Bombyx mori: one gene and its partners. The protein of the gene in region 3 interacts with the protein of the main gene of each other region in a pairwise test. Links are inferred from orthologs where the notes say so. Each region holds a gene or a part of one and is shown on either strand. Other genes may lie near its edges. The genes, in order: ARF GTPase-activating protein Git, protein phosphatase 1 regulatory subunit 12B and Erk.

Region 1 (3,657 bases), about 12 Mb from region 3:
CATACTATACATATAGATAAAGTCAATCAGATTTAATGTCTCATCAAAACACAAAAAAGAATCGCACATTAAAATCCAAATAAGATTGACATAAGTCGGTCTATATAAACGTCCTTATAACACTAAATTGAATACATTCCGTCTAGCTACTGCTATTTACGTATATCTAAGCGTAAAGCATTATTTATCTTCAAGAACACTGTACACTCTTAACACTTTTAGATCGGACGTTCACCTCGTTCCGAACATCGTGCTCCATAATTCTAAATCATAGGAAGACTTATAAAACATTTAACAACTAAAATTGAAAATTATTAATAATTTTTGTACATTTGTACTTTATCTGTTCCACTCTAGTCGGTCTGTGATCAAGCTACATAAACATAGACACGAAAGGCTCCGTAAAGCGGAGACATTTGACTTGTTAACCAACATAAATGAATTATCGTAACTACACAGGTATGAAGCTACCGAGCCGCCATGTTTGTTTACTAAATTGGACAATTATGAAAAAAAAAATTTTCGGTATAAGATTAAAACTTTGCACATTATTGTGACGTCATAAGTCGTTATACGTTTCTCCTTTCGTCCGACGTTCTAGTTCTTTAAATATAATTATTATTATTTGTGAACCGTAGAGTGTCACAGAGCACCCATCTCATCGCGTCACTTCGTAAGTGTTGTCCGGCTTGTCCACCTCCACAGACGTCTTAGCGCACTATTATGTAAGTTCCATGAGGTGAGGGGGGGCGCACGCTACACGGTGGTGTAGTGCGCGTAGTGCGGTCGCTAGGAGGAGGGGGCGGGGGGGAAGTGGGTGAGCAGGAGCTTGGTGGCCTTGGCCAGCTCGTAGGCCGCCGCCCGCAGCTCCGGCAGCGGCGCCGCCGAGTCGCACGCCGCCGACACGCCCTCGCTCGCCGCGCGCAGCCCCGCCAGCACCGCGCCCAGCTCGCCGCCTACACAGTCCTGCGACAACTAGACTGTTACTGCGGGTTGTTAGGCCGTGTTTTACGCCCGCACGGATGGGCACTACAATCGGTTTGAAAAATGACACAGAAGTCCTCAATTCAATGGAGACTTCAATCTCAGGCTACGGGTTCGCTACAGGCGCCAGATCGTAGATTAAGGTAGCCCATACGAGACTGCGACGACAGCGAACTCTGTTCATTGCGGCTTCTATTTGTATCAGGATGGGCAGCAGACATGGGACATTAAATTAATGGGCTTGAATTTTGGAAACAAAAATGTGGCATCAGACAATTGTAAACTTAACGCATCAAGAGATCGTTCTCGAAGCCGACAAAGAAACAATGTTAATTTACTAATTTCTGCATAAGTTCTTATCGTATTAGTCAACCGCAGTCCACGTGTAACGAGGGTAGGTGTAGGGCAGCAGGGGACCGACCTGCGGGAACAGCGCCAGCAGCGCGCCCACGGCCCGGCGCGTGTCGCGGGCCCGCTGCTGCACGCCGGACTGTGCGCCAGACAGCGCGCCGGACTGGTGGCGCCGCGCCGCCGCCCACAGCTGCTGGATGCCGCGCGTGACGCTCTCGGCGCGCTTGTGCACCAGATCGGCGCTCGGAATTATGTCTTCCGGGCTGGCACCCTCCAAAACGCTCTGGGTCAACGAACGATCGAAACTCGACAGGGTTGTCAGCTGAAATAAATCAGAATTAATTTGGCAACACTGAACTTGGTCGGACTTCTGTGATCGTAATCATAAGATCTAAAGCCGTCGTCACATAAAGGATAAGATGCCTGATGCATTCGTATCTTCTAAACAACTTCTAATAAAAATATGGACTTTACTGGTGGCAGGAAATCCTGTGAATCCGCAAGGGTAGGTACTACTACCCTGTCTATTTCTGCCGTGAATCAGTAATGCGTTTCGCTTTGAGGGGTGGGGCAGCCGTTATACTACATAACCGAGAATTAGAACTAATTTCTTCAGGTGGGCTGGCAACATTTACGTTGTCGATGTCTATGGACTCCAGTAACTACTTAACACCAGGTGGACCGAGAGCTCCTTTACTCATCTAAAAAAAGGTATGGATTTTTTACAAAAACATAAAGAATGTCGTGGACTTGTTCTACAAGTATTTATCAATTTAGTGAGTTTTCAAATTTGTACTAAAATATTATGTTTTACAAAAATATTCAGATATTTAAAGCAGACAAAAATAAACCCTAATTATTTGTCGAGTATTAGTACTACTGTTTGTAAGAACTATCTACAAATTTCCCATCAGTTTTGTTCAAATTACTCATACAAGGGTGTAAAGGAACAGTTTCCGAAACTCAAAGAGCATTGCACGTAAAGAGGTTTAAGATAAAAAATTGTGAGGGTTAGCCATTTTCCTCCGCCAGGCGGCAGTAGGCGGAGGCAGCCGACAGAACCTTCTGGAAGCCCCGCCCCAGTATTCTCTACGAAAGCAGCGCACGCCCTCGTTTTCGAGAACTGTTCCCGTACTGTATTTATAAGACAACATTTTTAAACAAAGTCCATAACAAATTTTAAATCAAGTCGTCTAGTAAAATTATTTATTCAAAATTAACAATTCTAATGCAAATAGGCTCATATAAAAAAAAACAAAAGTGTTGCCTTATAAACTGTATTAAAAACTACTAAATTAGTATAATTAATATATGATTAGTACCTGGTGTTTAGTAACCTGCCAGTTATTCTTTGGGCCTTCCCTAGTCTCATACATACTGACCGGTCGCTGCGAGCCCTTGGCCGGCCTCACGTCGACCTCGCGGCCCAGCTCGGACTCGAGACTCTTGCCGCGCTCCTGCGCCGCGAAGCCATCGAGACCACTACAGCTCTCCCCGGTCAGTGACGTCACACTGTCGTCATCGATGCTGCTCGTCTTCAAAACGCTGTTCTCTTTAGTCAATCTCTCGACTATGGTTTGTAGATTCCTCAACTGAGTTTTTAGCTCGTCTATGGTCGAGTCTTTGTCGTGCAGTTCTTTTTTTAAATGCTGTATCTGGTCGTCTCGTTCCGGCGTGGCCTGAGCCGGACAGCTGGGCGACTGGGTGCGGCGCGGGTCGGCGATGGGTGACTGTTCAGTGGGCAAGCCCGGGCTGTACGTCGCCGACACGGCGTCCCCTCGCCGCGGGGTCACTGTCGATAGCTGTTGATTACGGAGAGGGTAAGGTCGCTTTCAGACCACGCTATAATATAATAGCATATATTATATAGCTCATAGCACAACAATATCGTGCGCCATACATTGTTATAGACACGTTCACGCTGTACTGTACTATATATTATTGGCTAAGTATACGCTGCTATACTATATGGCAATATAGTATAGCGTTGTCTGAAAGTAGCTTTAGGCATTTGGTGTTTATGCACGCACGTCTATCGCTCCAAAGCTTTTTATATAGCTTCAGTAAATGAATCATAAATTTGAAGAGCTTAGTCATTGTCGCTTAACTTTGTCGTCGTTAAAATTCAACAAAAACTACTATACTTTTCTACTGATCAAGAGAATAGATCTATAGTTAAATTAAGGCTCGACCACCGCCCTGCCTATTTCTGCCGTAAAGCAGTGATGCGTTTCGGTCTGAAGGGTGGGGCAGCCGTTGTAACTGTACTGAGACCTTAGAACTTATATCTCAAGGTGGGTGGCGCATTTACGTTGTAGACGT
Region 2 (3,657 bases), on a different chromosome or scaffold from region 3:
ATAACTCAAATGACTAGTAAACCCGGTCGCGCTTTACTTTGAAAATTTGTATGAGAAGTATTGATCTCTTGAAATTGTTCACGCGTCATTGTACGTTGATGGTATTATGACAGAAACCTTCCCTACAGCGGCAATTTCAACCGTACCTAGTTTCACCACATTAAGATCTGCGGTTCAGTAACGCATAGAGGACAAAGATTCGTGATTATTTCAACATGTATGCAGATTGTACCAATTAAACGTTTGAATACAGCGCCATCTATTAGATACTTACTTACCCAACCTGGACAATTAAGCATCATGTCGATATGTTAGCTTACACCACCATCTCTTAGAAACTAACTCAGACCTCATATACAACAATGGCCATTTGTCATTTAATAAACAAATAAATTGAAAAATTGAAAATATTGTTATCATGAATTGAGATCTGACTGTTGGGTTGAACGAAGTTGGCCCAAACTGTACATAAAATGCAAATTTCACTTCAATCGGTTCATTAGTTCATAAGTATATCGCGGAAAACAACGAGGGTTAAACATTTTATACGAACACAGATATAAGTAATTAAACCTTTTATAACACTCATGAAGCCATGTCTTGCGATTTTGTTTCCCTTGTGCACTCTCACAAGTACTAAACGCTCAATACACTGGTGGAACATAAATTATCAAATACAAGAATACATACGTTATCACCCTTCAAGTACTCAAATACTCGAATAAAAGTCAAACATTTCATTAATATGGAAAAAAAATTGTAGGAAAATAAATTATAACTAAGTGCCTTTCGCTGTTTTGTTTTCTTTAATTGCCCGCAGACACGCATGCTTTGCCCGGTTTATTCATGTTATTATATAAAAAAAAACGTCACGAAAAAATCTTAATCGAAAATCTTAAAGGTTGTAGTAGAAGAGTATTTAAAATAATTAATACTAAGCCAGTAAAAAACTTAAAGAAATTTAATAAAAATTGCTTGAGAACCTCTCAGGAATTGTTTAAGATGCTCCAGTCATCTCAAGTTTTGAAGTCAAACTTCTTTAGAATCGTGATTTCAAACTCGATGAAACGAAAAAATAAGTCCACAGAGACAGTTTAATACAGCGCCATCTATGAGAGTTTTTAATACTAACGCGTGTATGAAACCTCTTGTAGTGAATTTTAATTTAGGATTATACGTGAAGTTAAAATATCAATTCACAGAGGGCGCTACCTCATACTATAAAAGATGATTTATAATTATTTACTAATGACAAAATTTTACATTTAGGGTAATTGTATTTTAATTTTTGAGGGTTTCACTTCTACCACGTGTGAATTGCAAACATGTATTTTTTTATTCTCGGATCGCTCATCACAGGAGCAGGGCTCACCCAGACTAGTTAGAGCCACTAAATTCATCGACAGTGCGACAGACAGGCTTTGAGTATTTGTAGTTTTTTTTAACGTGAGCTTTTTAAATATCATATGGCCGTAGATCCCTGTTTTGTAAAAGATCACATGATCATTTCGTTATATTAGTGTTTATTGAGTCTGACTACTGCCCCACGAGTTAGGGGTTCGATTTCAGTCTTTATTAAAAATATCTGACATTCGGAACTTGGCTCTGTATATTCTCGTGACGCATGCTTATAGATACCCTTAAACTGGCTAAGAATTCTAGATCGGGATCTTTTCATATAGCTTATTTATTTATTTGTTGCAGGCGTTGATTGTGAGAAGTCAAGGAATGCAGAAGTTGATACGCTGATGAGTGACGCCAGAGAATGGGCATTGCACGGCTACGTTGAAGTTCGAGACTTGAAAACGGGAGGCACGCCGCTCCACGTTGCCGCTGCTAAAGGATATATCGACGTAAATATAAAACTATACTGAGACCTTAGAACTATATCTCAAGGTGTGTGGCGCATTTACGTTGTAGATGTCTATGGGCTCCAGTAACCACTTAACACCAGGTGGGCTGTGAGCTCGTCCACACATCTAAGTAATAAAAATAAATAAATAAATAATAGACTCGATTGAGCCTTTCTAATTATTTTTTTTACTGCCGAGGACATAGTATAGTTTCACCTGTTGTCTCTACAATATATTTACGCTGGCGTATTCTAATTCGGCCTCTGGAGCGCCTTTTCCTGGATAAATGTGCAGACGATCATCTTACTGCCAATCTGATCGTTTGATGAACAGAACCGGGGAAACAGTCAAGACATTTTAAGATGAATCTTAAACCGTTGTGCTTAGCGAGTTTTTTTAACGTTCTCGATGGCGTAAAAGTTAACTCGTATATGGAGTTGGAAAGATTGCCTACGTTTGCCGCTAGGGGCACTTTTTTTTTTTTCGGGTAGTGGGCCGAACCTCCTACGAGGTCCCGCGCTGTTCCAACTGCACACAAATATGAGTTAACTTTTACGCTATCGAGAACGTTAAAAAAATCGCACTAAGAACACAGGCTATACAAAAATAAATAATAGTTTAAAAAAACTAACAAAATACGCTTTTATAGAAAATCCAACTTAAAAATAGGAAATAAATTTTAATAAATTTGAATTAAAAATAGTGTAAAAAAAAATGATTTTTTTGTAAAAAAGCGTGGGGTGCATGATATCAGTAGCTTTTATAATAATTATTTTAATATTTTTACTGGTGGTAGGACCACTCGTGAGTCCGCGCGGATAGGTACCACCGCCCTTCCTATTTCTGCCGTGAAGCAGTAATGCGTTTCGGTTTGAAGGGTGGGGCAGCCGTTGTAACTATACTGAGACTTTAAAACTTGTATCTCAAGGTGGGTGGGTGGCGCATTTACGTTGTAGATGTCTATGGGCTCCAGTAGCCACTTAACACCAGATGGGCTGTGAGCTCGTCCACCAATCCAAGCAATAAAAAAATGAAGAGATATGATTAATTAACTATTTTTTATTTTTTAGTTGAATTTCAATTATTTCAATTTTTTTTTAATTTTTTTTTACATTAAATTTTCATCGGTCCTTAATAAGTATACAAAATTTCGAGTTAATCCGATTTTTTGAAGGGGTTCATAATCATGTTCAAAGATTCCGTTACAAACATACATACATACATACATACGTCTGAAGCCAATAAAAGCGTATTAAAAAAGTATTGTTTTTTGTATACGCAGGTGGCCAAAACTCTACTGGAGGATTGTAATGCGGATCCTGACTGCGTTGACTACGAGGGCTGGACACCGTTGCACGCGGCCGCATTGTGGGGACAAAAGGAGGCGGCAGCATTACTACTCAAATTCGGAGCTGATCCACATCTCAAAAACTATTCGGTTAGATTAAAAAAAATTATTAAATTTTGCTACAATTAATTGGTTAGTACTAAACACTTGATGTTCATTTGTTTATTTTCAATTTAATAACATTTTGAACTCTGTTGGCGTTATCTGTGGGTTATCTATAATGTCAGTATAGATATATACATAAAACAGGTTACAGGTTAGCGTTCTTTTCGGCTGTCTGGGATAAATATATTTAAATGTCTTCCATAGCATACAATGACTGCAGTCTAGATTTTACGTAAAAAAATAATAAAATGAAATAAATACATTTAAATTCTTACAATAAAAAAAAAAACAATTTTGAAGTCTTGTTTTTCTAAATCTTTATTAAATATTTTAATGCTTTGAACTCATCTC
Region 3 (4,363 bases):
TAATGAAAAAATATTAGGGGTTAAAGTATGAAATTGCCGATTTGTACTTTTTTTTCATTTAACATACTTATTTAATCAAAATATCTACCATTATTATGTATACATTGCTGTCATCTAATAGGAAGGTCATTTATGTCTTTGCAATAAACTCTGGTGATCTAGATTCTACAAACTGTGTGAAAGCATCTTGTACAGCCTGCCTCCTGGGAAGAACACATTTTATCACGTAGAAAATTGTCCAAGTGACGAAAAAAATGGTAGTCCGTTGGAGCAAGGTTTGGCGAATACGGAGGGTGACAAATGGTTCCTAATTGCAGTTCCTGTAGAGTTAAAACGATTTCTCGTGTTGTATGAGGTCTCGCAATAATGAAAATCGATTCATGAGTCGGGGCTGTTTGACTGCAAGTTTTACTATCATTGTTCGGAGTTCGGCACAGCAAACATCTGCCGTTATTGCTCGACCAGATCGGAGAAAGCTATAGTATATCCGACCCAGGCGACAGGGCAAAGCAAAGCCGCCGTCACTCAAAACATGTCTTGTCGGATCCCCCGGATCCACTCTCGGTGCTTTTAGGCTCTTCATGCACCGATCACAGTCCTCGTCGAACTCGTCGACTCCGACGAAGAGTTCGAAGTGCGAACTAGTCTATAGGCACAACCCACTGGGTTTCTCGCCGGATCTTCTCAGTGGGTCGCAATTGCGATCCAGTGGTAGATTCTGCGAAGCACTGCTCTTGCTAGAGCTAGGGCTAGTGTTAGAAAATTCTCTCAGGTTGAGCCCGTGAGCTCACCTACTGGTCTGGGCTTAGCTGGAATAGCCTTTTAGGCTACGGGCGAATAGGTGGGGGAAAAAAGGAAGAAATTTTGCAAGATGAAATGTGCATCGGTCACCAGATATCCCTCCCATTTAATTAGTATGGAATGAGCTGGTTAGAAAAGTTAAGAACCGTTGTCCATGAAGCTCAGCACAGTGGTGGAAATAATTACAAAATGAATAGAAATTACTGGACTCTGAATATTTTGGTAAATTAATCAAAAGAATGAATATCACATATTTTATGTGAATTATTTTGATGAAGCAAGAATTTAATGAAAAGTATTTTATGTTACATTTTATTTATGCCCTAAATATATTTTAATATGTGATATAAATAATGACTTAGGTGTTTTAATGACATTTTTATTGAAATTACCTTAGTGTTTTCAAACTTTTGAATGGTAGTGTAGCTGTCAGTATCCAATTACCACTAGGTGGGCTCTAGGTTCATTGAATATGTCGTCTGGTATATAATAAATACTATAATATATGTATAGTAGTAATACTAGCAACAGAAGTTACTTTAAAAACTGGTGCTTGTGCTGATCCCTCAACCCACACTAACTTTAATTTAAGGAAGGCACAATTTAAGGATGTTTAGTTATGGAAAACTGCTGGTTTGTTATGTTGTATTATTGAACTCAATTGAAACATATGGTAGTAAATAGTAGTACTGAATAGTAGCTCCAAAAGGCCTAAGTTGCACATTTACATCTTATAATCCCTTTTATCTATTTTTTTATAAAACTCCATCGTGCAAATATTACTATTAATATAACTACAGCCATTAAAAATTCTGTTTTCTGGTTTCATAGTGAGATTATTATAATAATGTTATCTTGTATGGTATTGTAGATATACTCCGATTTAAATATTAATATAGTGTATGCAATTCTCCAGTATTGATTTTTAATATGACGATATAAAATTGTTAACTAATATTATATTAATCAAATTATCCAAAACTTATTGTCAGACATGATGTCATTATCAACAGTAACAACAAAGTAAAACATAATGTGATAATCGATAAAACCGAGATAAGATAACTGTTGGACAAATATCATCAAATTTCAAAGAAGTTTCAGCTTTTATTCACTGGCTTAGGTACCTAACAATAGTCTTTTCAAATTAGTAAACTTTAGTCACTGATCATTAAGTATAGATACTGTGGCATTATGAAAAATTCATCGCAGTAATATATCTAGTACCTAGTAATTATTTTTGAAAAAGGAGTTTTGTTATTATTAAAGATCAACATATTTTTCTATTTATGAATCAAAGTAATGAAATACAATAGCCCAAATACGGGCAATAAATAAAAATAATATAAAATTATGTATTGCAGTCACTCAAGCTTTATATGATATAATGTCATGGAGCAATTTGTAAGTCATTTGTTAAGCTACATTATCCATCTTTATATAAAACTCAAAGAATTTGTCTACTAAATGTCTCAAATCTTGATTTAAGTTTAGTTTCTAACATACATATTATTAAAATCATCAGATAGCTAACTATTGAGGTAATTATAAAAGATTTCAAACTTTAAGCAAAGTTTCAAAATACTTCTAATAAACATTGTCTCAAGTACAAAACAAAACAACAAGCATTAACAAATTTGAAGTAATTGTGTTCAAAGACATTGACAACATTTAGAGCAGCTTATTAACAGGAAAATATACTTCAATTTAGATAGGGGCCGGTGTTCTGTTATAGAGCTGACATTAGGGAACAAAGTTTCAATTAGCAGATTACTTACACAACCATTCCATAAGCTCCCTCGCCTATATATTGCAGACTTGTGTACCGTGGACCAACTTCGAACACTTGGCCACGAATAATCTCAGCGTTGGGGTTGCTGCTGGCAGCACCTGCAGCTTCAGCCATGGTTTAAAACTAGTGATCCACTAAACACACAAATTCTTCAGACCACCGGCGTCGCCAGCATATATTCCTTCGGACACGGGATCAGTTATTCACATCAATTATGACAACAAACTGCGGCGACCTACATTATCCACAGAACAATCGTTCACTTGTCACTCGCTTATCATTTTCGAGGCCCGTCCGACTTTTACGGACACTCCTGTGCCGCGACAGTACCGTTAGAAAAATGAACTGGATTTTTTTCTGTAATCTGCATCAAATCACATCACCATAGAACACCAGGGATGCCAGTACAACTACCTTATTATGTACCACTAGGTTTGAACTACATACAACATTATTTGAATTATGTATAACGACATATGATTGCAATTTTTTAAATTTTTCTTCAATAAAAGAAAACTAGATTTCAGTAGTTTTTACACTTTAACTTTTATTATTTTACTCTTTAACTTTTGTGTTAGCAGTTATTCTAATCTCCACACAGAAGTAATAAATAGACAGAACTGAAATACTCGATATCTTGATATTTTACATTATCAACTATTATTGAGTGAACTAAGGGAAGAATTATTATTGAATTATTGTATTGTACCAATAAGTAAATTGATTAGATTGTACTCTTCTACCCACCTATGTAAAGCTCTCTTTAAGAACGGTTAGCTGGTAGATAACTCAATTGTTGAGTTAAGCTCGCCATTTTATAACTTTTCGCAATTATTATATTGTAACTGTGTGTACAATAAAGAAATGCATTGTAAAATGAGGTTTCTCAAAATCTACTGAAAAATATAACTTTAATTGCTTAAAGTACACACGGCCACTCGTTTCACAGTTTTTTCAAAATATGATTTAGACATATACTTTTTATGGTGCTTGTAGGCCGACGAGTATACCGCCCCCTTGATGGTGAGTGGTCATCGTCACTTATGGACGTCAGCAATGCCAAGGGCGGAGCCAAGCCGCTGCTTACCGTCAAATACTGCTTGATACCGTTAATACACAAGGCTAGCAAATTAAAACATTTTGTAGCTAATTTTAGTATCTGGCAGCCCTCTATGCTTATATTCACTCTCACATGGCCTAAAGGTCTAGATAACAAGCGGTAAACTCCAAAAAAAAAAATTATCACTGTTACTATATTCTACCATATTTATTGAAGACTAGCTGACCCGGCAGACTTCGTATTGCCTCAATCGATAAATAAAAGACACATCAAGGGGACACATCAAAGGAAAAACAAAATTGTTTGTTTTTATATAATTCCGAGCTTTTTTATATTTTCTCACCTTTTAAACCTTCCCTGGACTTCCACGAATAATTCAAAACCAAAATTAGCCAAATCGGTCCAGCCGTTCTCCACTTTTAGCGAGACTAACGAACAGCAATTCATTTTTTTAAATATAGATTCAATCTTTCAATCTACTTTAATACAATTGTACAGCTCTACTATAACACACTCTCGGCAATTTTTATCCAATATTTGGTGAGCTCGAGATATTAGTCGATTATTTAAAATTTAAATAACAACAATTCATAGTTCTTCAAGATTTTACGTGGCTGTATATTTGTAAAAATGGTTTTGCTTGGTAAATCGATTCTGAACAACCCAAAACATTTTAATTGTTTTTTCTTGCATTGATTTTAATTTTTGTC

The links.
Region 1: the proteins of Erk (region 3) and ARF GTPase-activating protein Git interact in a two-hybrid assay, tested with the Caenorhabditis elegans proteins (3 studies listed by BioGRID). The link is inferred for Bombyx mori from reciprocal best matches to the Caenorhabditis elegans genes mpk-1 and git-1.
Region 2: the proteins of Erk (region 3) and protein phosphatase 1 regulatory subunit 12B interact in a two-hybrid assay, tested with the Caenorhabditis elegans proteins (3 studies listed by BioGRID). The link is inferred for Bombyx mori from reciprocal best matches to the Caenorhabditis elegans genes mpk-1 and mel-11.

The regions. Positions count from the first base shown.
Region 1 is NC_085116.1:15,973,862-15,977,518, forward strand, and holds part of ARF GTPase-activating protein Git, read right to left. Parts: intron 3,156-3,657; exon of another isoform or gene 3,138-3,155; coding exon 2,658-3,137; exon of another isoform or gene 1,952-2,657; intron 1,658-1,951; coding exon 1,406-1,657; intron 967-1,405; coding exon 790-966; 3' UTR 1-789.
Region 2 is NC_085107.1:4,052,523-4,056,179, reverse strand, and holds part of protein phosphatase 1 regulatory subunit 12B, read left to right. Parts: intron 1-1,704; coding exon 1,705-1,853; intron 1,854-3,135; coding exon 3,136-3,291; intron 3,292-3,657.
Region 3 is NC_085116.1:4,060,204-4,064,566, reverse strand, and holds the start of Erk (extracellular regulated MAP kinase), read right to left. Parts: upstream 2,943-4,363; 5' UTR 2,708-2,942; coding exon 2,580-2,707; intron 1-2,579. UniProt on the Caenorhabditis elegans protein: Functions in let-60 Ras signaling pathway; acts downstream of lin-45 raf kinase, but before the lin-1 gene product in controlling vulval cell differentiation. Plays a negative role in proximal germline proliferation in the mitotic zone.